Elephas maximus indicus: one gene and its partners. The protein of the gene in region 1 interacts with the protein of each later gene in a pairwise test. Links are inferred from orthologs where the notes say so. Each region holds a gene or a part of one and is shown in the gene's direction. Other genes may lie near its edges.

Region 1 (7,846 bases):
AGATAGTAGTGATCCATTGCATGAGACAGCATCACAATTATTCAATTATTACTGTAATGTTTTCCCAACTTATTTGATCATGGAATCTTTTGTTAAAAGAAGCATCTTGCAGGACTAGGGTTCAGCCAACTTTGGGAAATGCTGGCTTAGCATACTACTCTATTCATTGTATCCTCTCTGAACACATCAAGAATGTTCAAGTTGCTGCTCATAATGTATTCTCTAAATTGAGATGTCTTACTCATTGTTTGAGGCTCCATCCATGTTTTACAGTAACTGTTTACAGCTTTTCCGAACACTGAACCTCAGTACCCTCCCCAAAGGAAACAATCAATTGTATTACTTCATACATACCTCTAATATGGTCATTGGAAACCCTGGTGGCTTAGTGGTTAAGTGCTATAACTGCTAACCTAAGGGCTGGCAGTTCAAACCCACCAGGCGTTCCTTGGAAACTCTATGGGGCAGTTCTACTCTGTCCTATAGGGTCGCTATAAGTCGGAATCGACACGACGGTACTGGGTTTGGTTTTTTTGGGTTTAATATGGTCATTGTTACATAATATTGTAGTTGTTTACAAATCTGCCTAGATAGCTATCTGCCATTGTGTTGATTTTGACTCATGGTGACCTTAGTTTAGGTACAACAGAACGAAACGTTGCTTGGTTCCGCATCATCCTCAGGATTGCTGGCATGTACAAGTCCTCTGTTGTTGCCATGTGCCAATCCATCTCACTGAGGGTCTCTCTAACCATTGCCGGCCATCCACTTCACCAAACATGAAGTGCTTCTCTAGTGATTGATCCCTCCTCGTGACGTGTCCTAAGCAAGTGAGTCAGACGACGTTGTTGTTATCCATGAGGTGTTCACTGGCTAATTTCAGAAGCAGATTGCCAGGCTTTTCCTCCTAGTCTTGGTCTGCAAGCTCTGCTGAAACCTATGTACTATAGGTGACCCTACTGGTATTTGAGATACCAGTGGCACAGGTTCCAGTATCACAGCAACCCACGAGCCACCACAGTATGACAAATTGACAGGTGGGTGGTAGATATATCTGCCTAGCCCACTAGACATAACTGCCTAGCTCTTTGAGGGAGGTTCCTTGTCTGATCCATCTTTGTACCCTCAAGGCCTATCAAAGTGTCTGGCATACAGTAGGTACAATTGTTAATTTATATGGTATCATTCATGAGAATGGTTATGGAGGCTATTTATACATATTTACTTAAAAATTGAAGCACTTTGAATTTGCTGCCCCAAAGGAGGATAAACAGGCATTGTGTTAGTCATCTAGCACTGCTATAACAGAAATACCACAAGTGGATGGCTTTAACAAAGAGAAACTTATTTTCTCACAGTCTAGTAGGCTAGAAGGCCAAATTCAGGACGTCAGCTCCAGGGGAAGGCTTCCTCTTTCTGTAGACTCTGGAGGAAGGTCCTTCTTATCAATCTTCCCCTGAACTAGGAGCTTCTCCACGCACAAACCCTGGGTCCAAAAGACATGCTCTGCTCCTGGTGCTTCTTTCTTGGTGGTATGAGGTCCCCAACTCTCTGCTTGCCTCCCTTTCATCTCTTGTAAGATAAAAGGTGGTACAGGCCACGCCCCAGGGAAACTTCTTTTATATTGGATCAGGAACGTGACATGAGCAAGGGTGTTATATCCCATCCTAATCCTCTTTAACCACAGGCAGAGATCATGATTTATAACACATAGGAAAATCACAAAATGGAGGACGACCACACAACGCTGGGAATCATGGCTTAACCAAGTCAACACATACTTTTGGAGGACACAATTCAATCCATGACAGACATGCTTCATTATTTTAAATTAATTGTTTATAGCATTCTTACTATATTTTATAATTTTCCCCCAACACTGGAAGCTTGTTTCTTTTTTTCCATTTTACAAATATGTTTACCTTAGGCAAATAAATTTAGTTCGATAAGCATACATAGGGCAATTACTCTGTGCCAGGAACTATGCTAAGTCTTAAGTACAGGAACATGATACATATAAATCACCTGGAGCCCCAGTGGCGCAGTGGTTAAGAGATCAGCTGCTAACCAAAAGGTTGCCAGTTCGAATCCACCAGCTGCTCCTTGGAAACCCTATGGGACAGCTCTGCTCTGTCCTATGTGCCAGGAACTATGTCAAGTCTTAAGTACAGGAACATGATAAATATACTCATAGTTAAATAGCAATACATACTGTACTCAAATTTCAATATCGAAGCACTAAGTACAATAATGGAAGTATATATGAGTTTCAGGAGAAGTATAGCAGAGGTTACATAGTCTCTATGAGGAGAGGTATGAGGAAAGAGTTCTCAGAGAAGATTTCTGAACTGGAGTTTGAAAACTGGAGAGTTTTCCAAGCAAACCAGAAGCAACAGGCAGGAATAAAAGAATGGAGACAAGAAATCGTAGGGCTATAAAGAAGAGCAGTTTGGGGAGCATTAAGTACCAGATGGCTTGTGGTAGAAAATGAAGCTGGAAACTTAGGCAACAGTCAGGTTATAAGGATCTTAGATGACAATATAACGGACTCGGACTTCGCCAGTAGGTGATGGGAAGCCAGAGACGACAAACACTATTTGTTTTGCCTTTTCTGCATTAGGAGAGATCTATATAACATTCACTCAGCAAACAACTGTTAAGTGCATATAGTGCTCTGAATTAAAGTTCATCATAAAGAACATTTTTGTTGAAAAGGTAAATAGCCTAGTTTTCACCTATAATTTCTATCCTCTCCAACTGATTCTTGGCATAAACTCACAGGACAGTATTTCTAACTCTGTAGCTAACACCAATACCAACATTTTTCAATCATTTCCACCAGGCAGCACATTTTTTAGCAACCCAGTTCATAAACTGTAATTAGTCTCCTATAAAGAATAAATTATTTCCTTTATTCTTTTCTAAATTGCATAGCTTTCATTTTATTTTTGTTACACGTTAATATCTATAAATATCTATTTAAGGTTAGGCCAAAGGAATCCACATCTTTTCAGCCTACGAACTCTTCTATTTAAAATGGAATTTTCTATTATAAGAAGGAAAAAAGAAATGAGAAAAATTTCCAAAATGTAAATAATATGCCTCAGGAAGGCATAAGAAAGATCCCTGGAAAGAAGACACTACAAATGAGTTAACAAATCCCAACTATTACCAAAGTAAATACTAAGATAAAGGTAGAAGTCCAGATATCAAACACAAAATTACATGGAGAAGTGAGATAATACAAATCAAATGGGCACCATTTAATTTTGTATTAGGGGTTCAAGTGAACAAATAAAACTTGAAATTTCAAAGTCAGTGATGGCAAAGAAAGGAATGAGCAAAATCTTGTTAAGGATGGTATTGTTTTAATGTACAAAATATTTCTAAATGTGTCTCATACCAGTAATCTACATATTTGAAAAAAAATCTCATATATAGATAATAAATGACCTGAAACTGGTTGTTAATTTGCTATAGAAACAAAAACTTGTAGTTACCTATTACAATATTCTCCTTTAACTAGAGGACCAGAGTCAAAGAAAATATTCTAACATTGCAAAGAAATCATATATTTGCGTTAGAGAAGGGGTGAGAGACTTAAATGAGAGGGTTGCTCAATTTGGAATTAGATACTGTGAAATTTTTTTCTGGATATCTCTAGACATAAGTGGACTATCAGCTGTATATCTTGTCTGCTAACAAGGGAACAGGCAAGATTTCTTAAGATCCTGTCAAGCCTGGTGATCCCACAAGTCTTTGGAAATAAAAGCCTAATTAAGAGGCTCCCTAGGGACAGGTCAAAGGGTTCTTTTAACCCTACTACCCTTATCGGTTAGCTGGTTACCCTTATCCCAGTTCCTTGATGCCCTATTCCTTCCCTTTCATTCAGCCTCCTCTAAAACTGAAGAATACACATTGTACAAGTTTCCATCTTTGTCCCCTGTACTGTAAATGCATTAGACTATTAGAATTAAGAGTTTTAAGTCCCTTGTCTCTTGTCTTTAAATTGATACTGCTTTTTTTTTTTAAGTGTTTTTGAACTTTCTTCTAAGACTTATTTTTTCAGTTGGACAATTTTTTTTTTAGTGATAGACTTTGCCTGAAAGATTACAAAGTCCTTCGAGCTTCTTTATAATAAAGCTATTTGATAAATAACACTTGGTCAAAGTTTAATTCAGTTTTATGTCCTAATTTCAAAGTTTGTGTTGCATGGAATTACTTAGGTTAAATTCCTGCTGGAATCATAGTGACCACTGCACTTCCTTGAAACAATTTTAGGGTTGAACGTCTCTACCGCACCACCCAGAAACTAGCAACTGGTGCACGTCTTAAAACCTGATATAAATTATTTGCAGATTTAAAGTCATTATTGTCATTCCTTTGGTAGTAAAACGAAGGCACAACGGAACACTTTTGTTTTTACATCCTCATTTTGCCCCGCATGAAAAATTACTGGCGTTAATTTGTGTAAGTATTAAACAAGCTTGTAGAGATGAGCACATTCTATCCAGTTATGGTAATTCTGTGTGAGTTATCCAACGTTTAGAAACACGTGCGGACACCGCCCTAGACCTGAACCCGATCTCTCCTGAGACCACTACACACTGGCATGTTAAAATTTCAACTTGTAATTCTGAGGCTCGAACTCTAACATTTAATGATAAATGTCCTCTTACCGACATTCATAAACACCATCTAATAGTCAAGGTACGTTTCAAGACGCAAACTCTAAACCCCTGCTTCAATCACCATCCCAGATACAACATCCGGCCTCGCTCTGGTCAGCAATTGCCGGCTCCCGATTCTAGGCACCGCGCCACACTGGCTGATCACCTGATTGGTGCCCGTGCTTGCCAGTCACACAGAAACGGTGGGAGCCTAAAAACCACGATCTAAATAAGACGCGGTGTTTTTACGTCATTTTCGAGCGGCAAAAACTGGAGGGAGGGGGCTGCGAACGCGCCTGGGTAGTGGTGGGGGCTGCCGGGGAAGGTGTCATGGCTGCTGCCGCCACGGAGCTTAGTCGCCCGAACAGCAGTGACAGGAGCTCGGAGCGGAGCTGCAGCCCCAGCCTCTGCCGAGAGGCGCTCTGCGAAACCTTTCGCTCCTTGCGAACCCTGGCTGAACAAGTGAGTAGTGACCTGAGGGAGCAGAGCGTGGGAACCGTACGGCCCCTCCCCCCTTTTCCCTGTAGTTAAGGGCGGGGGCCGCCGAGGGCAGCAAGCTGCAGGCAGCGGGAGCGGCTCAGGCCGGGGGAGGAACCCCGGCCCCTGCCGCCTCCCGGCGGAGGGAGGAGGATGGCTGCACAGACTTAGTTGCAGGGACCGGTTGCAAACTAGATTTCCTTGCAACTGTTCTCTTATAGGGTCGCTGTGAGTCGGAAGCGACTCGACGGCAGTGGATGTTATTATTCTCCCGTAGAGTGAGTGAGGACAGTGTAAATGAAAACCTGGTTCTCGGAGAGAGTGAATGCGGAAAAGCTTCTCTAACGGTTTGGGAGGCGTCTGACGCTGAGTTCTTTTTCCTCCAGTTCCTTTTAGAAATTGGCTAGTTAGTGCGGCCTGAGATTGTGGGAAAGCGCTCACTGTACCGTTTTTGGGTCGATTTGCTCTTATGAGTCACTTGTTTTTTTTTTGTTTTTTGCTTCTGGACATCATTTGCATCTATTACGCTTTCAGACGGGGAGGAAAATAAAAGGAATTAATCGAAAATACTTACAGCATAAAGTTGGATGGGTTGCCCATGGTTAATCTGTTTGCATGAGAGCTCTTCTTTTAATTATTAACTAGGCTAACTGATAAATAACTTGCATAAATGTCTTAGTAAAATTGGGTTTGAAAGAAATGAGCTCCTTACTCTGTTCGGATCAACTCACTGTTTGGTTTCAATTACAATTCAAAGCAAATTTTAAATGAAAAACAACCTGAAGAGATGTTTATTTGCCTACTTTCTAAAAGGAAATATTTTGTATCTTAGATGGAACACTTTCTAGCTATACAAGTTTGTTCTGGAACTGGTAGTAATGCCTGTGGTCAAGTAGACACAGCAGACGTCTGTGTTGAAGATAACGGTTAATTCTTAAGAAAATAAAGCATTTGTCCAATTTATGGAAATTATTTTTTAAAGCCTTCAGTATATGGAGAACTAATTTTTTAAAGTTATTTCAATATTTAAAAAAAAATTCTAGCATGCTTGTCATGATTTACAAAGAGCATTACTTTAAACACTCAGCTTGGTATAATGGAACAATTATTAATGGAATCTGCTAAAAGGTAGAATATAGCTTTTAAACTTGGTTACTTGCCAAAGACCAAAAAATATTTATGAAGACTTGAGGACTTTTGATTAATTATTGTTAACATTTTAGCCTTAAGACCCAAGACTTCTAAATGTTTTAAAAGTTAGAGAACTTTTTATTTTTATGGTGTGGCTATTAGAAATTTAAAGTTTAGTCATACTCTAATGCCAGGATGAAAAAAGTTTATCCTATTATTTACAGAAGGTATTTCTGATTCAGTAATGGAATATTTATAAAAATCAACATTGAGGAATGATTTAAACTTTCTAATTTCGTGTTCTGAATTTTTCAAATTCATTTAAAAATTGTAAACATTCAGGTATTCTGTAGGTACAGTAGAGATGTGATTAAAATCTACTCTTGTCACCTGTCAGAAATGTTTAATATAAATATTTGGTGAGTTTACATGACGCAGTGAGGGAATCTTTTATACAAGTGTCAAAAATAAAATTGTCTCGTCAATTAAATGCTAATCATTTTGGTAATATTCTTTCAATTTTGAGACATATTATTTAAAGATAAGAATAAAAACCAGAGTATTATAATACTTATAAAATCACTTCAGGGGAAATCACTGCTTCCTTTTGCAACAGGTTTGAAGGATTTAAAATATATGCCTAAACTCATTCTGTATAATGCCATTGTATTATTGGTTCTCTTCAATAGGAAGCATAAAATTGAACTTTAAAAAGTATTTCTATCCCAGATTGAAAAATGTACTAATTTTTGCCAAGTTTAACCTTATTGCTTGCCTCCGGATGGCCCGTTTTACCAAGTTAAAGAATTGTTTATTGTTAGCTTGGATTGTCTTATTAATGAAGTTTTGACTGACTGAAAATGCATATTTAATTGGCCTATATTAATAGCAGACTAATATAGATTTTTGAGTGAATGGTGTACCACTACAAATTCTATAGGGTAAAATGCAGAGAAAATTTGTTGATTAGATAGTTGAATGTATTAGGATAGTTTTCAAGTTAATTCATGACATTATTATATGGCTTTCTTGAAAGACCAAGTATCCTTATTGCACTTGAAGGCTTTCATAATTGTGTTGAATTGAAACGAGAATACGATCCAAACATTTATTTTTATTTTCCCTAAGTTACTCTTTTCTCTAGAAAATTTGATGCTTTGCTTTGGTTGAGAATTTGCCTGCTTTACTCCAAACCATATTCATAAATTTGTTCTACTTGCTATAGATCTCTTTGAGGCCTGTAAAAGTGTAGTAGTAGTTTACTTCCATACAAAAGTTGTTGTCTAACAAACTCTTTATGAAAGACGTTAAGGGAATGTAAACTAAGAGGCATTAATCTTTGCCAGTACAGCCTACATAAAAATTTCTATTTCTTTAAACTTGTCTAATGTGAACTTTAAATGCTTCTGATCTCATGTTCAAAGGACAATGAATTTGTTTCAAAGTTTTCTTTTAGTATAGTGTTTTTTTATTGGATACATTGCATCTCTGGTTCCTTGTACAGTAATTTTTATAGTCACACCTGATAAGACCTATATTTGAATTCATGCACCACTTGTCTTTATTTT
Region 2 (6,978 bases), on another chromosome or scaffold:
CGGAGGCAGCAGGAGTATGCAGCCTCAGGAATCACATGGAGGACATCAAGGCGTCCACGTCCTAACATCACACAACAGGGCCTCCAGGGCAGCCAGCGTGAGCATGCACTGTGCCAGCTACAGGGCTGCCTTTTCCTAATGGAAAAGTCTCCCCTTTAAGTTCGTTCCTGCTTCCCCTCCACTGCCCATATCTGCATTAAACCCTCGTGCCTTTTTCTCTAGAGGGTTTAGATGCAGACCTAGCCCACCAGCAAATGTTTATTAGGGTTTGGAGGTTTGTTTTCTCAAAAGGCAATCTTATTGTGTCCCTGAAAACATGTTTGGGGTAGGTCTGTAATTTTAGGAACCTTCCTCCTGCGATCTTAAAAAACCGAGATTGCTAAAGCGAATCGCTTAAGAGAAGATGCCCTTTAACCTCCAGTCGGTGTTACAGATCTGCCGTTGGGGTCACCACAATGACTGGTCCTCCAGCTCTGTGTTTTGTAGACGATAATCCCCTCCGTCTGGGGTTGGCTGCCTGCACCTCCCTCCCCATACTGCGTCCTGCATGGCCAACAGGAGTCAGACCCTCGGAGATACAAGAAGGACTTCCAGAGATGGGCTGCCTGTCTATTGTTTTTTCTAATAGCCAGTGGCTGGGAGAGAAGATAACTGCTTTCACGTTTCCTTTCTCTAAAAGAGAAATAGTTTGATAGTATATTTTGAATATAGATGCTATTACAGTCAGATTGGGAATTGAACTTGAATGTTGACTTACATGTTAGTGTCGTTGCTGTGGTCTTTTGATCATGACTTTTTCCTTTCTTCCTACGTTTCAGTTTTTAAAATATATATATGGCCTTCAAAAATGTGTGTTCTCAATGTTGTATGAACTTACTTAACCTGTGTTTGACTGTTGTCTTTCTTCAAAGACTCTTGGACCTACAAAGAAGCAGGTTAAATGCTCTGAGATCCATTCTCTAACATGCTGCTGTCTGGCCTTTTTAACCTTATCATGATATTTCTGTTAGCTATTGCATTTAACATATCTGTGTGTGTGTGTGTGTGTGTGTGTGTGTGGAGAGAGAAATCTGTAAAGTAAAATTTATATATAATATATGTAATCAAAGGTACATATGTTATATATACGTATGTGGATGTATGACTTATTTTTCCTTATCCACAGAATTCAGCTACCATGTATATATAAATAAACTTATTTTATTAGCCAGAGGATTGTTGTTAATACATTTTGTGTTCTTTTCACTTTAACGTAACTTCCTTAAGGAGTCCCCATATCACCTTGTGCCTAGCTCTATTTTTTTTAATTGGATTTAACAGCAAATTGGGTTTAATGAGTGTGATGAGCTAGTAGGATTAGCAGTCTATCATTTGAGAAAACAAATCCTTTAGAATATGTTTGTGATTTCTCCAAAAGAGAATCCTCTCTCTTAGGTCTTTGGAGACACCGGTGTCAGTTAAGATGGGCCACCTCCTCATCCTACCCCTCCCAGGGCTCTGTGGAGTCATTGTAAACATCTTCAGGATAGAGCAATCTGAAGTTAACCTGGCCACTGAGGGTCACCACTCTGTGGAGAATAACAGTGCCTAAACATATCACCTTTGCCAACAACTTCACCCATATTTTGGACCCTTCATTTAGCCTTGATACATCCTGGAATTCACAAGAATGCAGATCCTTAGGCCAGTCAGTGTCTCCTACATTGCTGTTGGGTACCATCTAGTCGATTCCAACTCATAGTGACCCCATGTGGCAGAGAAGAACTGCCCTATTGGGTTTTCTTGGCTGTAATCTTGATGGGGCAGTGGTGGCACAGTGGTTAAGAGCTACCAGCCAAAAGATCAGCAGTTTGAATCTACTAGCCACTCCTTGGAAACCCTATGGAGCAGTTGTACTCTGTCCTATAGGCTATGAGTTGGAATTGACTCAACAGCAACAGGTTTGGGTTTGGGGGTTTGGGTAATCTTGATAGCAGCATATCAACAAGTCTTTCTCCGGCGAAGCCGCTGGGTGAGTTCGAACCACCACCATTTCCAGTAGCATCCAAGCACTTACCTGTTGTGCCACCAGGGCTCCTTATCACTAACACTACCCAAACAAAAAAAACTAACACTGGGAAGATGTTATTATACACAGGCTTGTCTGTGCCATGACCACATCAGGTGCACCAGAGGTGGCACTCACAGCAAGAAGGCCAAGTCTAAAGAAGGGATACCCCCAGCCTTTGCTTGATCAAGTTGGTTTCTTAATCTGTTAATCAAATAACCAACCTTGATAAAATGCCTTTTATGCCATCTCAGATAGATGAAGAAAGAGAAAAAGGCAGCGGGGGCGGGGGAGCATGGTGTTGTCCTAATGAGCAGCAAAGAAGAGCACACAGGATATTCTTGTAGGTGAGTAAGGTTTTTAACTCCTGTGGGACCTTGCATAGGTACCCTTCTCTAGTGGTGGGAGACAGAGAGGGCCTGGGTCAGTCACTGGACTGGAAGTCAGAAGAGGCAGCTCTGCTCCTTTCTGGAGATGAGACCTTGGGCAAGTCATTGAGCCCTCAGGGCCCTCATAAAATGGGAATACTGGCCAATTGTAGGGCATGTGATGATACTTCTAGAGTTGTGCAGTGCGCCCAAAATGGCGGTACACGTCAACCCTGTACCTACCTCCAAAAACTGAATTGAGAAGTCAATGAAGTAAAGCATGGAACCCATTTACTGGGGTGGGTTCAGTACTCACTAGAAGTTGGTTCCCTTCCCTTTCTCTCACTCACTTCAAGTCTGTTCCCACATTGCAGGGTCTGGGATAAATAATTCAGCTCTGGGTTTTGGTTACCTGGTTTCTCCAGAGTAAGACTTAAGTTCAATGGGTTTAGGTCCAGGTTGTCATGCCCTGGGGCTATTTTCTGGCCCTGGAGAAGTGACAGAAGGGTGATCCACGACAGCATGCCTCGGTGGATGACTACTGAATCCTAACTTGAGTTCCCTTAGACAGCTAACTGGAAAACCACTCTCCTTGTTGTTCTTATTTATTTGTTTTCCAAAAGATGAGGAAACAGGTATGGAAAACATCCGTAGCATAATAAGTATCCAATATGTGTGGGACCCAGATTTGCTCAAGGTCCCTTATCTCGTGCGTCAGGCCAGCGTGTGGAACGCAAGGTCCAGAGAAGTGAGGTAGCTTGCAGCTGATGGACAGCAGAGCTAGAGCCCATCTACCTTGACGGACCCTCCACACCCCAGGCTCTCTCTGAGGACACCTCCCCATCCCTGAAAGACACAGAGACAAGAATGCCCACCCTGCCCCCAGGAAGGGGGCTATAGGGCAGAGGTAAGAAGAGAAGATAGAGGTAGGGAGGGACATGAAGCTGCTGCTATGATTGAGGGGGGTGAAGGAAGCAACAAGCTGGCTTGGTTTCTCTTGAGCCCCCAGGACTGCCTCCCCCCATGCTGGCCTTCATCCACTTTCATCCTCTATTACCTGTTGACACATGTGCACATTCAGACCAGCAGCACAAACAGGCACTGAAATGAGGCCTGGAACACCTGGATGAAGCTTTGGCTAAACCACTCGCTAATGAGCTAAGGTCTCTTGTACCTCAGTTTATTTATCTGTGAAATGGGGCTGCTTGAGACCTGCCTTGCCCTCTCTTAGATAGTGAAAGCCTGTCAACACATGTGGCCCAATTACATGAACCCCCCGATGAACCACCCCCACAGCCTGCACTGATATAGCCTCCCCGCCCCCACACCAGCTAAACAAGCTAGGAGGTTGGGCACGTGGTCCTGCAGAGAATGCCTGAGTGCCTGTCTGCAGCAGCCCTGGGCAGGGCCTGTCTCAGCGAATTATGGAAACTCATGGAAGTAGCAAACAAAGCAGCCTGGGGGCGGGGGAGCTTCCAGAGAGGTCTGTGACCAGGCCACTGGGACTGGACTCCAAAAGCCACTGGACTGTGTAAACCCACAGAGACAGAAGGGGTGATGAGCGAGAGGCGAGTGGTGGTGGACGCACCCACCGGTGCCAGCTTCAGCATGTCCCTCCACAGGCGCAGGGCGTCCTTCAGGGGGACTCAGTCATCATCTCCCCTGGAGAGCGCCCTGGGCTCCAGGGCCAATGTTGGGGGTAGCCTGGTCCAATCACCTCTGATCTATATAGGCACAACACCCACCGGGTACATAGGTGGCCAGGGTGCCCACGTGACCTGCCGAGCCCTGGGCATCAGCAGTGTCTTCCTACAGGGCCTTCGGAGCTCAGGCCTGCCCTCTGTGCCTGCTCCTGGCCTGGAGGGGGACCACGATGCTGCTGAGGACTTGGGGGGCTGCTTGGTGGAATACACGGCCAAGGTACGTGCCCTGGAGCAGGTCATCCGGGAGCTGGAAAGGCAACTGCGGACGCACCTGGAGAGCAAGGCTGCGGGCTCGGGAAGCTGGGGTGCCCTCAGGGCCTCCTGGACCAGCAGCTGCCAGCAGGTGAGTGCCTGGGCCGGGCCACCTCTGCAGAGGGCCTGGAGGGAACAATGAAGGCTGCCTGTTGTACCATCTCTGGGGTCATTATCAGAGAGTCCGAGGGCTGGGGTAGGGGACAGGGGAGTGAGTGATCCAAGGCCCAGAAACTGACCGCAGACCTTTACCCTTCCGTGCTAAAAAATACTACTAATGATAATAATAACAACAACAGTGACAGTGGCTACTATTTACCGAGGTTCACTAGGGGCCAGGCCCACACTCGTTCCTGTATGCACGCTCTCTCCTATAATGTTCACAGTGTAGGCAGTGGCTCCATCATGGATTTCATCTTTCAGATGAGAAAACCAAAATCACAGAAGTTAAGAAACGTGCCCACGATCACACAGCTAATTGGGAGTTGAACCTGACATTTGAACCTGAAATTTTCCATCTTCAAAGCTTGCACTTGTCCCATTACCCTGGGCCGCCTGTGTCAGCCTTTATTGTTGTTACGTGCCATCGAGTGGATTCCAGCCATCATCAAATTCAATACCGCTGAATGGATGTGGTACTAAAAACGATGAGAAAATGGAAGCGTGTTCCTCTATCCACCCATAACAAAACTGTCCAAAAGAAATGTAACATGAGCCACGGAGGTAATTTCCAGGTTTCTATTAACCACCACAGTAAAAAAAAAAAAAAGGGAAAAAGAAACAGGTGAAATTAATTTAACATTATATGTTATTTAACGCAACATATATTTTTTTTTATCCAAGATGTTATCATTTCAATACGTAAAAAAAAAAAAAGCTTTCTATTTTAGTACCTTTGACGGGCCACCACCTGTCTGTCAGTTTGTTGTACCGCGGTGGCTTGCATACTGCTATGATGCTGGAAGCTGTGCCACTGCTATTTCAAATACCAGCAGGGTCACCCACAGTGGACAGGTTTCAGTGGGGCTTCCAGACTAAAAGGGACTAGGAAGAAAGCCTGGTGATTTACTTCCGAAAGTTAGCGAGGCAAACCTGATGGATCACAACAGTACGTTGCCCAACTCGCTTTCTGTGGACATCCGGAGGGCTCAGTCACTGGAGGAGGATGTCATGTTTGGTGAAGTACAGGGCCACTGAGGGTGTGGGAGACCCTCAGTGAGATGTATTGGCACAGCACCCATAACAATGGGCTCGAACATAGTGGAGATTGTGAGAATGTCGCAGGACCAGGCAATGTTTGGTTCTGTTTTCCATAAGGTCACCATGAGTCAGAGTTGGCTCATTGGCAGCCAACAACAACTTTTAATGGCACTTTTTTACCACTTTTTGAGCAAGAGGTCCCATGTTTTCATTTCACAGCGGGACCCACACATTACATGGACCATCCTTGTTACAGGGTTACTGTATTATGAAGTTCCTTTCCATTTCCCAGCCTCTCTCTTCTGGCTCCCAGGCTGTGTCCCACCCTCCCAGCCACTTCTCTTGCTAAACACGGAAGCAGACTGAAAACCCCCAGGCACTGGGCAAAGAGTCTGAGGGGGACCCCCCGGCTCCTGCACACTTCTCAAGGAGTGTTTCCCTCTCGGCCTTGCCAGGGGCTCCAGACTCTTCTTGCCACGTAAAGGATGTTGATAATCACCTCTGGCGGGAACATCAGGCCCTTTTCATCGTCAAATAGGCCAAACACAGGCTTGGAATTTGGCAACCACCCTGTCTGCCTCAGAGCTGCAGATAAAAGGAGAGGGGACGGAGAAAGGAGCAGGAAGGAGCTGAGGCCAGGGTAAGGGGGACGCTGGCTGGGGAAGAAGGGAGGAAGTGTGGGCCTTTAAATTGTCACCACTCTGTTATGGAGCCACGGAAATTAGGGGTCTCCCCTGGAGAAAACGTCAGCTTATACCTCCAGTGGCAAAGGCTGGCAGCTGGAGGAGAAGGGGAAATGAATATTATAAAAAGTTAAGAAGATTAGAATTTAAAACAGGCCTGATCTGAATATTTTTCCTGCTGCTCACAGTCCCTGTTTCTGCCCCTTGCAGAGAGACAGCCCCTGCTCTGGGGGTCTGCCTATCTGGAGAAGATGCTGGAAACTTAGGTAGTCTAAGTCAGGGCCAAGTTTCTCTCCCCACAGAACCCGTGGCCCTAGGAGCTTTTTTTTTTTTTTCTTTTAAAAAAGAAGAAACAAGAACAGTTCCTCTGCTGAGTGAAAAAAGAAAGGCAACAGGATCATTGTTCATGATTCAAGACCTGGTGTCCCTGAAAGGGGAGAGGGACTTGAGCTATTTTTAGCATGTGTACTCCCTGAATTAAATAATACATTGACCCAAGACAAAGCCACCCAGCCTGTTTGGTCAGAGCAGGTCACTCTGTTAGCCAAGCTATAAGGGACACTGCAGTATCATTAAAATATAACTACCAGGAGAAAAATATATTTAGGAGAGTTTCAATTGGGGAGAGTGATATGTAAGACTTCAAGAAATATTTTGACAGGCCAGGGGAGGGGGCAGGGGCATGAGATCACAACCAAGGAGGTTGGTCAAGTAATATTAAAAAA
Region 3 (7,639 bases), on another chromosome or scaffold:
GGCTTAGAAATCAAACCAACCTAGTTCAAATTCCAGCTCTACTTTTTGTTGGTCATATGACATTAGGCAAATTAATTCAAATATCTTGATTTTCCATTTCCTTATCTACAAAATGCTTATGTGGTTAGTATTAGATGAGAGTTTCTGACACATAGTAGGTACTCAGTAAATAATTCCAAGAGCATCAAAAACTAATTTCATTTATTTCCCAGTTTTGCCTTAGGCTAGTCCAGGGTAAGAGGAATGGAAAGCTTGAAGAGTCGGAGGGCATCTTCATTGAATCTGTGAAAATGTGTGCACGTGGATGGTTGGGGTATAGGGTGGAGGTAATTTTAACTGTAGAACTAAATTCCTTTCAGAAAGCCAGGACGCAGTCTAAAAACATTGCTTACATTTGAAAGACACTTCATGGTTTTTTCCCCTGACAGACATATATTATAATTAACAATTTTTATGAACAATAAATTTGAGAGTCAGAGACAAAATGGTGAACTGCCCAAAGAGACAAAATTAAGTGCCACAGAGGCAGTTAGTAGTGAATGGAACTGGGCATTCTTGTCTCTTGACAGATACAAATACGACAAATCCCTGCATGTTATGATTTAGAATCCTAGGTGCATACCAAGCTTCTAATCCTCCTTTTAAAACAACAGAATGGCAAAGCCAATTGAAATTAAAGTAGGTTAAATATTTTAATATTAACTACTCAACTGATTGATTCTGAAGTGGTTTGTACCATCTAAAAATGTATATAATATAGGCCTATAGTTGTTTGAAATATGTAGACAGTAGTAGATTGAGGTAGTAGCCTATGAAAAAATTTAGATTTCATAAGATTTAGAAAATGGTTAATAAAATAAGTAAATGAAAAGGAGGTGGCACAGGCCCTACAGTGAGTTAGTGGGTGAGGACATATCAATTGTTGAACCTGGATTAGCCTAACCTTACCAATGAGGCCTTTTAAAAACAGCTTAGGCAGAAGAATTTTCACTGCCAAATCATTTTTTATCACTGCAAAGTTCAGTTAACTACTCCAGTGAGATTCTCCTAAATGATATTCAGAACATCACAGGACGAAGCAGCAATCAGTTCCCTATTATTCTTTTAAAGCACATTCTTGCTTCTATTCAGTTCCTCTTGTTCTGCCCCTCCTAGTACATTTCTTCTGAAGAATTTAAATCATCTCTAGCCGCTTTAAGGTTATGTACATCAATGAGGTAAGTTAGGTTATAAACCTTGCTAAAATGTACTGCTTGCGATCCTTTCTCATAGACATTTTCCTTGATCCTCCTCCCTACCCCCACAAACAACAGCTATTTGGCTAATCATAAACCATTTTATAACAGACCTTGTTATTCAAATAAATCTGTGATACTTTATAATATTTCCTGGATAGACATTTGAAAACCTCTGTATTGGGCAAGACTTTCTCTTTATTTTGTAGCAGATCTAATCAAATTCTGACCATTTCCTAACGTGCAGCATGGCACTAGTAGATTGATTTCTGGAGGAGTCTCTTGACTTCAGAATATTTTCTATTGATTCATGTGAGGCCAGAAGTACTACCAAAACAATATTTCTAACATATAAGCTTCTTGAAGGCAAGGGCCACAGTTTACTTGATTTTGTACATCCAGTGCCTTGGCACCGTGGTTAAGAGCTCAGCTGCTAATCAAAAAAGGTTGATAGTTCAAATCCACCTGCTGCTCCTTAGAAACCCTATGTAGTAGCTCTACCCTTTCGTATAGTCTCTATGAGTTGGAATTGACTTGATAGCAATGGATTTGGTTTTTGTTTTTAATCATGTCTGGTACATAGTAGACTCTCAATATGGACTAACTGAATGAGCAAATTTGTACAAAGACTCTACCTCATAGAAACGTAATAGTTTCAGATAGAACTAGCACAGATATAGCAGTTGTCATTATTATATTTATTGAATAACTAATTTTACATAGTCAGGTGCTAGAGTTTATAAGGAGAATATTAACACCATATTTGTTCTCCTTGAGAATAAAAACTCTAAAAACAAACATGAAAAGATTTTAATTTACACAACACATCATGCTTGCTATGTGCTAGCCAGTGTTCTAGGCACTGGGGGTATAACTGCAAATAAAATGGACAAAAATTCCTGCCCTTGGAGAGCTTACATTTAAGTGTGATGGCAGGCAATAAGCAAAATATCTATTTTCTTAGATACTGATAAGTGCTAAGTCAAAAAAATAAACCATGGAAGTGGGGAAGTGATGTAGGAATGTTGAAATTTTAGATAAAGTGGCCAGGAAAGTCCTCATGCAGGTGACTTTTGAGTAAACAGATGAAGGAAGAAAGTAAAGACATGAAAAAAAAACATATATATATTTCTATAATAGCTAGGACAAGAAAGGTAAGGTTGGAAGGCGATAGGGTTGTATGAAAGGGTAGACCTTACACAGATCCATACCTGATCTGCTTCTGCAACCAGCAGTCAGTTACTGAGTCCCGCTACGGTTACACGCCAGTGCTTTGGACTCACTCTATGCAGTATGCCCGGACAATCCTTTGGTTTCAGTTGGTAGGAATGCTGAGGGAACCGCTTGTCGATTCAAGCAGAACACAAAATACACTGAAATGTGTCAGGTGGGAGATCACAAAGCCACTTCAGTGGCTTTTGTTTTAATTCATACGTCCAAATGAAAGATACATAATACTGTAAGAAATTACTATAATTATTGCAATATAATTAGAAAAACAAGTAACAGGAAAAGTGACGCAAGTGAATTTGAGGATCCGGAAGAGATTAAGGAAGGTTAAAGAAAGAGAAAAAAGGCCTCCCCCCAGTAAACTCCCCCCCCCCCAAAAAAAACACAACCAATAAACAAAAATGAGAAGCAGAAATACAGCAAGGTCCCAGTGCGGCCTTCGGGATAGATTAAGCAATGAATTTGGAATAAGGGGGTTGCGTGCGTGTGTGGGACTGGTGGGGTGGGGAGGAAAAGGTGGTGGGGCTTGCATTGACGTGTAAGATTATTTTGAAGCAAACAGGAAGCGCATCCTTATATTAGAGAAAGGGATGCACGGCAGTAGGAGAGTGAGGTGTGTGATTCTGCCATGTGCATCAGAATATACTAGTATCTTTGACTTCTGTAACCTGTATTTTCTTAATTTACCAAACTTTCTTCTTAATTATGTTTCATTTTTGTTTTAGAAAAGGCACACAAAATGTCTTCTGCTTAACAAATGACAGGCTCCCTTCAGGCGTGTACTTGTAGTATCAAAGATAAACTGACCTGACTGTAAGAGGGCCATGCATGGGAAAAACAAACAAACAAAAAAAACCTTTTCTCAACATTGGTTTGAAAAAGTGGAAAGAAATCTCGATTCAGCTATTCAGCATCTTCCTCTCACAGGTTGTGCTGCCGACTCTGCGCTCATTGTCCCCTGCAAGACTGCGGTCTTTGCTGCCTCAAAAGAGCGGCCTGAGTCCTCACCCCAGCCATTCAGAAGTCAGGGCGAAACAAGTGCGCCCAGAGAGCAAGGTGTCCCCCTAGCCTCCTCGCCCGGCTCAGGACCGAAAACGGGCACCCGCCTCGCGCGCATGCTCAGTCGGGAGAGCGCCCTGAAAAGGCGCGTCGGCTTGGGAAGCACCCCTGCATGGTTATCCCCTGAGCTAAGGAGGTGCAGGGAGGCTCCACCCGGCTCCACCCGGGGTGCCCGCAGCCGTTTCGGGCCGAAGCCTATTTTCTTGCCTTGGGAGCGTTGTTCCTCCCGCGTTCCAAGGGAGCGGGGCGGAGCCGGGCTTTTCCGGGTGGGGTGGAGCCCGACCGCCGAGGGCACCCTTGTTAAAGAGCCTTTCAAGCGTCTTTCTGGAGCGCGCGAGGGGATTCTCCTCCGGGGAATGGAAGGCCGCACTCCTCGGAGAACACACTCCCTGAGAAAATGCCGGGGAGATCACTCTTCTGCGCTGCCCCGACCTCTCTGTTTTAAAACTAGCCACAAGCTAGGGCAGCTTTAACTGCCCTAGAGATATGCCTATTAATATTCAGCGTCCTCCCAGCGGCCTCCTCCCCGTTGTGTCCAGCGGGCCCCCACAGGCTTTTCTGAAAATGGGCGCCCTCAGGTATCTCCGGGAAGCGTTGGCCTCATCGCCCACACGTCCATTCCAGCTGTTCTCCGGGAAATTACCCCAAGTGAGCCGGGCTGTCTTGTAATAAACACAGGCCTGTTTTCTGAGTGTGAGCTGGCGGAGCTTGGGGTGGGGAAGCAAGCCTGGGGGGTGTCGGGATAGCAGCAATTCGGGATCAGTGTTCCCGTGTCCTGCCCTCTCCGGCCCACCCTCTGCCCCTCACATGGCCGCCATGAGGCTCCTCCACGGCGGCTGCAGCCGGTCCGCAAACACGCCCACCCGCACGCTCACACTCACTAGCCTCGGGTTTTTTTTTTTTTTTAAGGGGGAATGTACTGAGCATGCTCTATGGGAGGGGCGGGGCTCTCTCGGGCCGCGCGTCGGGGCCGGCGCTCCTTCGGCCGGCTCGGCGCCTCCGCTGCCCGCCCGCCCGGAGCCGCGCCCGGCGCAGGCTGCGCCCGCCCGCCCCGCCCCACCCCGCCCCGCCCCGCCCCCCGCCGCTCGTCCCCGCCGCGGCCGAGCCGCCTGCAGCAGCAGCAGCGGCAGCAGCGGCAGCAGCAGCAGCAGCGGCAGCAGCTGCTCCTCCCCGGCGGCCGCCCCCCGCGGGTCCCTCCCTGGCTGCGGGAGAGACGGAGGTTGAAGGAGGACACAGCACCGCGCCGCCTGCACCGGAGACCTTCGCTGCGCCCTACCGGCTCCTCACTTTCTGGGAGGAACATGGGTAAGTCATCCTTCCTTCCCCGTCATCGCCTGACATTTTTCTCTTCCTCGCCGTGCTGCAGGGTAGGAAGTATTTTTCGCGCAAAGTTGCCGGATATCTCAATTCCACGGGTGTGAGACGGTGGCTTTTCCTCCGGGGAGAGTCGGCGCACGCGGGACGCACGCCGGGCACCCGGACTGGGAGGGTCCCGAGTGCGGGGTGGGGTCGGTACGCGGGACCGGACCGCCGCCCGGCTCGGCACCTCACTGCCTCGCCTCCCCTCCTCCATTCTTCCTGCCCGAGCCCGGGCACCCCGGAGCCAGGCTCGCCAGCTCGCATCCTTTGCCCCGTCCCCGTTTCTGTGAAGGCCGCCTGCTACCTTTTTCCCACGTCTTCTGGGCTCGAGGTTCCTGTCCGATCGGGAGAAAGACCACTTAATGGAACTCCCCTGTCAGCACGACCTTTCCTTATTCTGGGGACTGCTCATCCCGAGGCGGGGAAATGTGAGCACATAGTTTGTGAGGGCTATTTTACAACCTGCACGGACATTTATTTTCGATGGGGGAAAGCGGACAGCCTCATAGGTTGAAACGATGACTTGTCAGAGGCCACGAGGAACGTGAGGAAAGAGAGCTGCTAGCTGATTTGAATTGGTGTGGGTGACTACAGCGTGCAGTATTCCTGTGCTCAGCCCATGTTGTTGGTGAACTTACGTGTTATTCTTTCCTAGTTTGCTCTGCCTAAATCTGCCTAATCTGATTTTAGTTGTCTTGTATTTATAGTTAATCTCAAGAGGTTGGTTTGGATGAGATATTTAAAAGCAAATACAAGTTTTGTAAAAATACGTATAATTCATCCCTCAAATTTTAATCCTATTGCTTAACTGTTAAATGCCGTAATTACAGATGAATTCTGTAATGTTAGTTAAAAGCCTGAAGTTTTTTTGGACTGGGTGAGCTGAGGGGATGTATTAACTTGGAATACCATACTTCTACATGTTCCCCAATTTGCTTTCACTCCTGTCGATCATAATTCCCTCTTTTTAAATTTGCTCCATGGGCATCTATCAGCTGGACTTTTCCCACCCCTTTGTGCAAGTTGTTTAAGCTTGAGATGCACGGTTCTTTTATCTGTTAGTAGAGTTCTAACAACATGTTCAGAGTTAGATTATGGCAATTCAGAATCTCCAAGGAAATATCTAAATCTAGATATGGTGTCACTGAAGATTACTGGAAAAGCAGATGTTCCAAGCACTGATTCAGAGCTTCGGCTGTATGTCAGGAAGAGGCCAGGGCTGCAGGGTAAGATGGTTTGAATGAAAAATGATTGTTTTTTCCCTTTTAATGTAGGTGCTGTTGGTACACTGAACAAATTGTAAAAATAGGGTGGCCCATTTATATGTGACAAAACTTTGTGGTTCAGAAGGTTTGAACCCACCCAGCAGCTCCATGGAAGAAAGGCCTGGCAAACTGCTTCCATAAAGATTGTTATTAGGTGCTGTCAAGTCAAGCACATGTGACAGAGTAGAACTGCCACATACGATTTTCTTGGCTGTAATCTTCAGGGAAGCAGATTGCCAGGTCTTTCTCCTGTGCAGCTGCTTAACCATTTTTGCCACCAGGGCTCCTCCGTAAAGATTACAGAAAAGAAAACCCTTTGGAGCAGTTCTACCCTGTGACACACAGGGTCTCCATGAGTCGGGGGGCCAACTCCAAAGGCAGCTAACAACAACAACAAGCTTTCTGTAGGAGTAATTTTAAATAAATAATAAATCAGATTATTGCATGTGTTGTGCCTTGCCCTTGAACTTACCCCAATTTTCTTAATTACCAAATCTGGCCTGTGGAATACATTTCCCCATGTTTCAGGATGAGTTTAAAAAACCCATTTAATTAAAACTTTACATGTTCAGTCAGTACTTTTTTGGGGGGGAAAATGCTCTTATAACGTTAGTGACTAAAAGTAGTTAAAACAAAGAAAATTATTTATTTAAAAATAATTAATTTTGAAAAATTTTGAAAAAGTCAACTATAAACCCATCTTTCCCTGTGAGGCCTTCTCAGGTCCGCTTTGACTAAATTAACCTCTTTCTCTCCTGATAGCTATTTGTAACTTGTTAGAAGCTTTTTAGCACTTACATAATCTGCCTTATATTAGAGTTGTTTATGTGTGTGTGTGTTGTGCATTTAATCGTGAATTCCAGAAGGTGAAAATTGTCTTACTAATCTTTGTGTCTTCACAATGCGTTTCACATAGCAGGTATTCAGTAAGTCTTAGCTGAATTAATTGTTGAACTTAAAACCACGTATCTGTTATTTTTTTACCTTTGAGCCTGAAAAGTATAGGCTCCAAACAAATATTTGGGTTATTGGATATGTCAAAGGGGATATGAACGTATAATTGTACTATGTCTTTCCTCTCTTTAAAAGAAAAAAAAAAAAAAAAGAGTTGGGTTCTTACCCAGGTTGTTTTGAGACAGCCTCCAGGGAAGCCATATCCTTCTACAATGTTGCTTTCAACGATAAGGCGATTTAGCGTGCCATCAGTAGGTATATGCAATAACATAAAATTGAAACCTTGGAAAGCAATTTTATATTCTGAGCCAAGGAAATTATAAAGATTTGTATACAGCATAGGAGGTGGAAGGCACACTACTGATGGTAGAAAAAAAATCACTTTTTAATCTTTTCTTCTCAAGAAATAAGGTAATTAAAAAAAAATTCTCATGGCATTGATTTTTCTACCCAAGAAAGTAAAGGAAACTTACTATATGACCTTTGGACCATGGCAATTATTTTATGTATATATTTTATTATAAACTCAACATGTAT

Evidence for each region. The genes of interacting proteins can lie anywhere in the genome.
Region 2: the proteins of MBIP (region 1) and BFSP2 interact in binary tests that used the Homo sapiens proteins (3 or more experiments, as listed by UniProt). The two-hybrid records come from large-scale screens. The link is inferred for Elephas maximus indicus from reciprocal best matches to the Homo sapiens genes MBIP and BFSP2.
Region 3: the proteins of MBIP (region 1) and RAP1GDS1 interact in binary tests that used the Homo sapiens proteins (3 or more experiments, as listed by UniProt). The two-hybrid records come from large-scale screens. The link is inferred for Elephas maximus indicus from reciprocal best matches to the Homo sapiens genes MBIP and RAP1GDS1.

What each region holds. Positions count from the first base shown.
Region 1 is NC_064828.1:48,670,986-48,678,831, reverse strand, and holds the start of MBIP (MAP3K12-binding inhibitory protein 1), read left to right. Parts: upstream 1-4,841; 5' UTR 4,842-5,000; coding exon 5,001-5,132; intron 5,133-7,846. UniProt on the Homo sapiens protein: Inhibits the MAP3K12 activity to induce the activation of the JNK/SAPK pathway. Component of the ATAC complex, a complex with histone acetyltransferase activity on histones H3 and H4.
Region 2 is NC_064844.1:46,439,299-46,446,276, reverse strand, and holds the start of BFSP2 (phakinin), read left to right. Parts: upstream 1-3,972; coding exon 3,973-4,461; intron 4,462-6,978.
Region 3 is NC_064823.1:55,404,067-55,411,705, reverse strand, and holds the start of RAP1GDS1 (rap1 GTPase-GDP dissociation stimulator 1), read left to right. Parts: upstream 1-4,633; 5' UTR 4,634-4,825; coding exon 4,826-4,829; intron 4,830-7,639. UniProt on the Homo sapiens protein: Acts as a GEF (guanine nucleotide exchange factor) for the Rho family of small GTP-binding proteins (G proteins) that stimulates the dissociation of GDP to enable subsequent binding of GTP.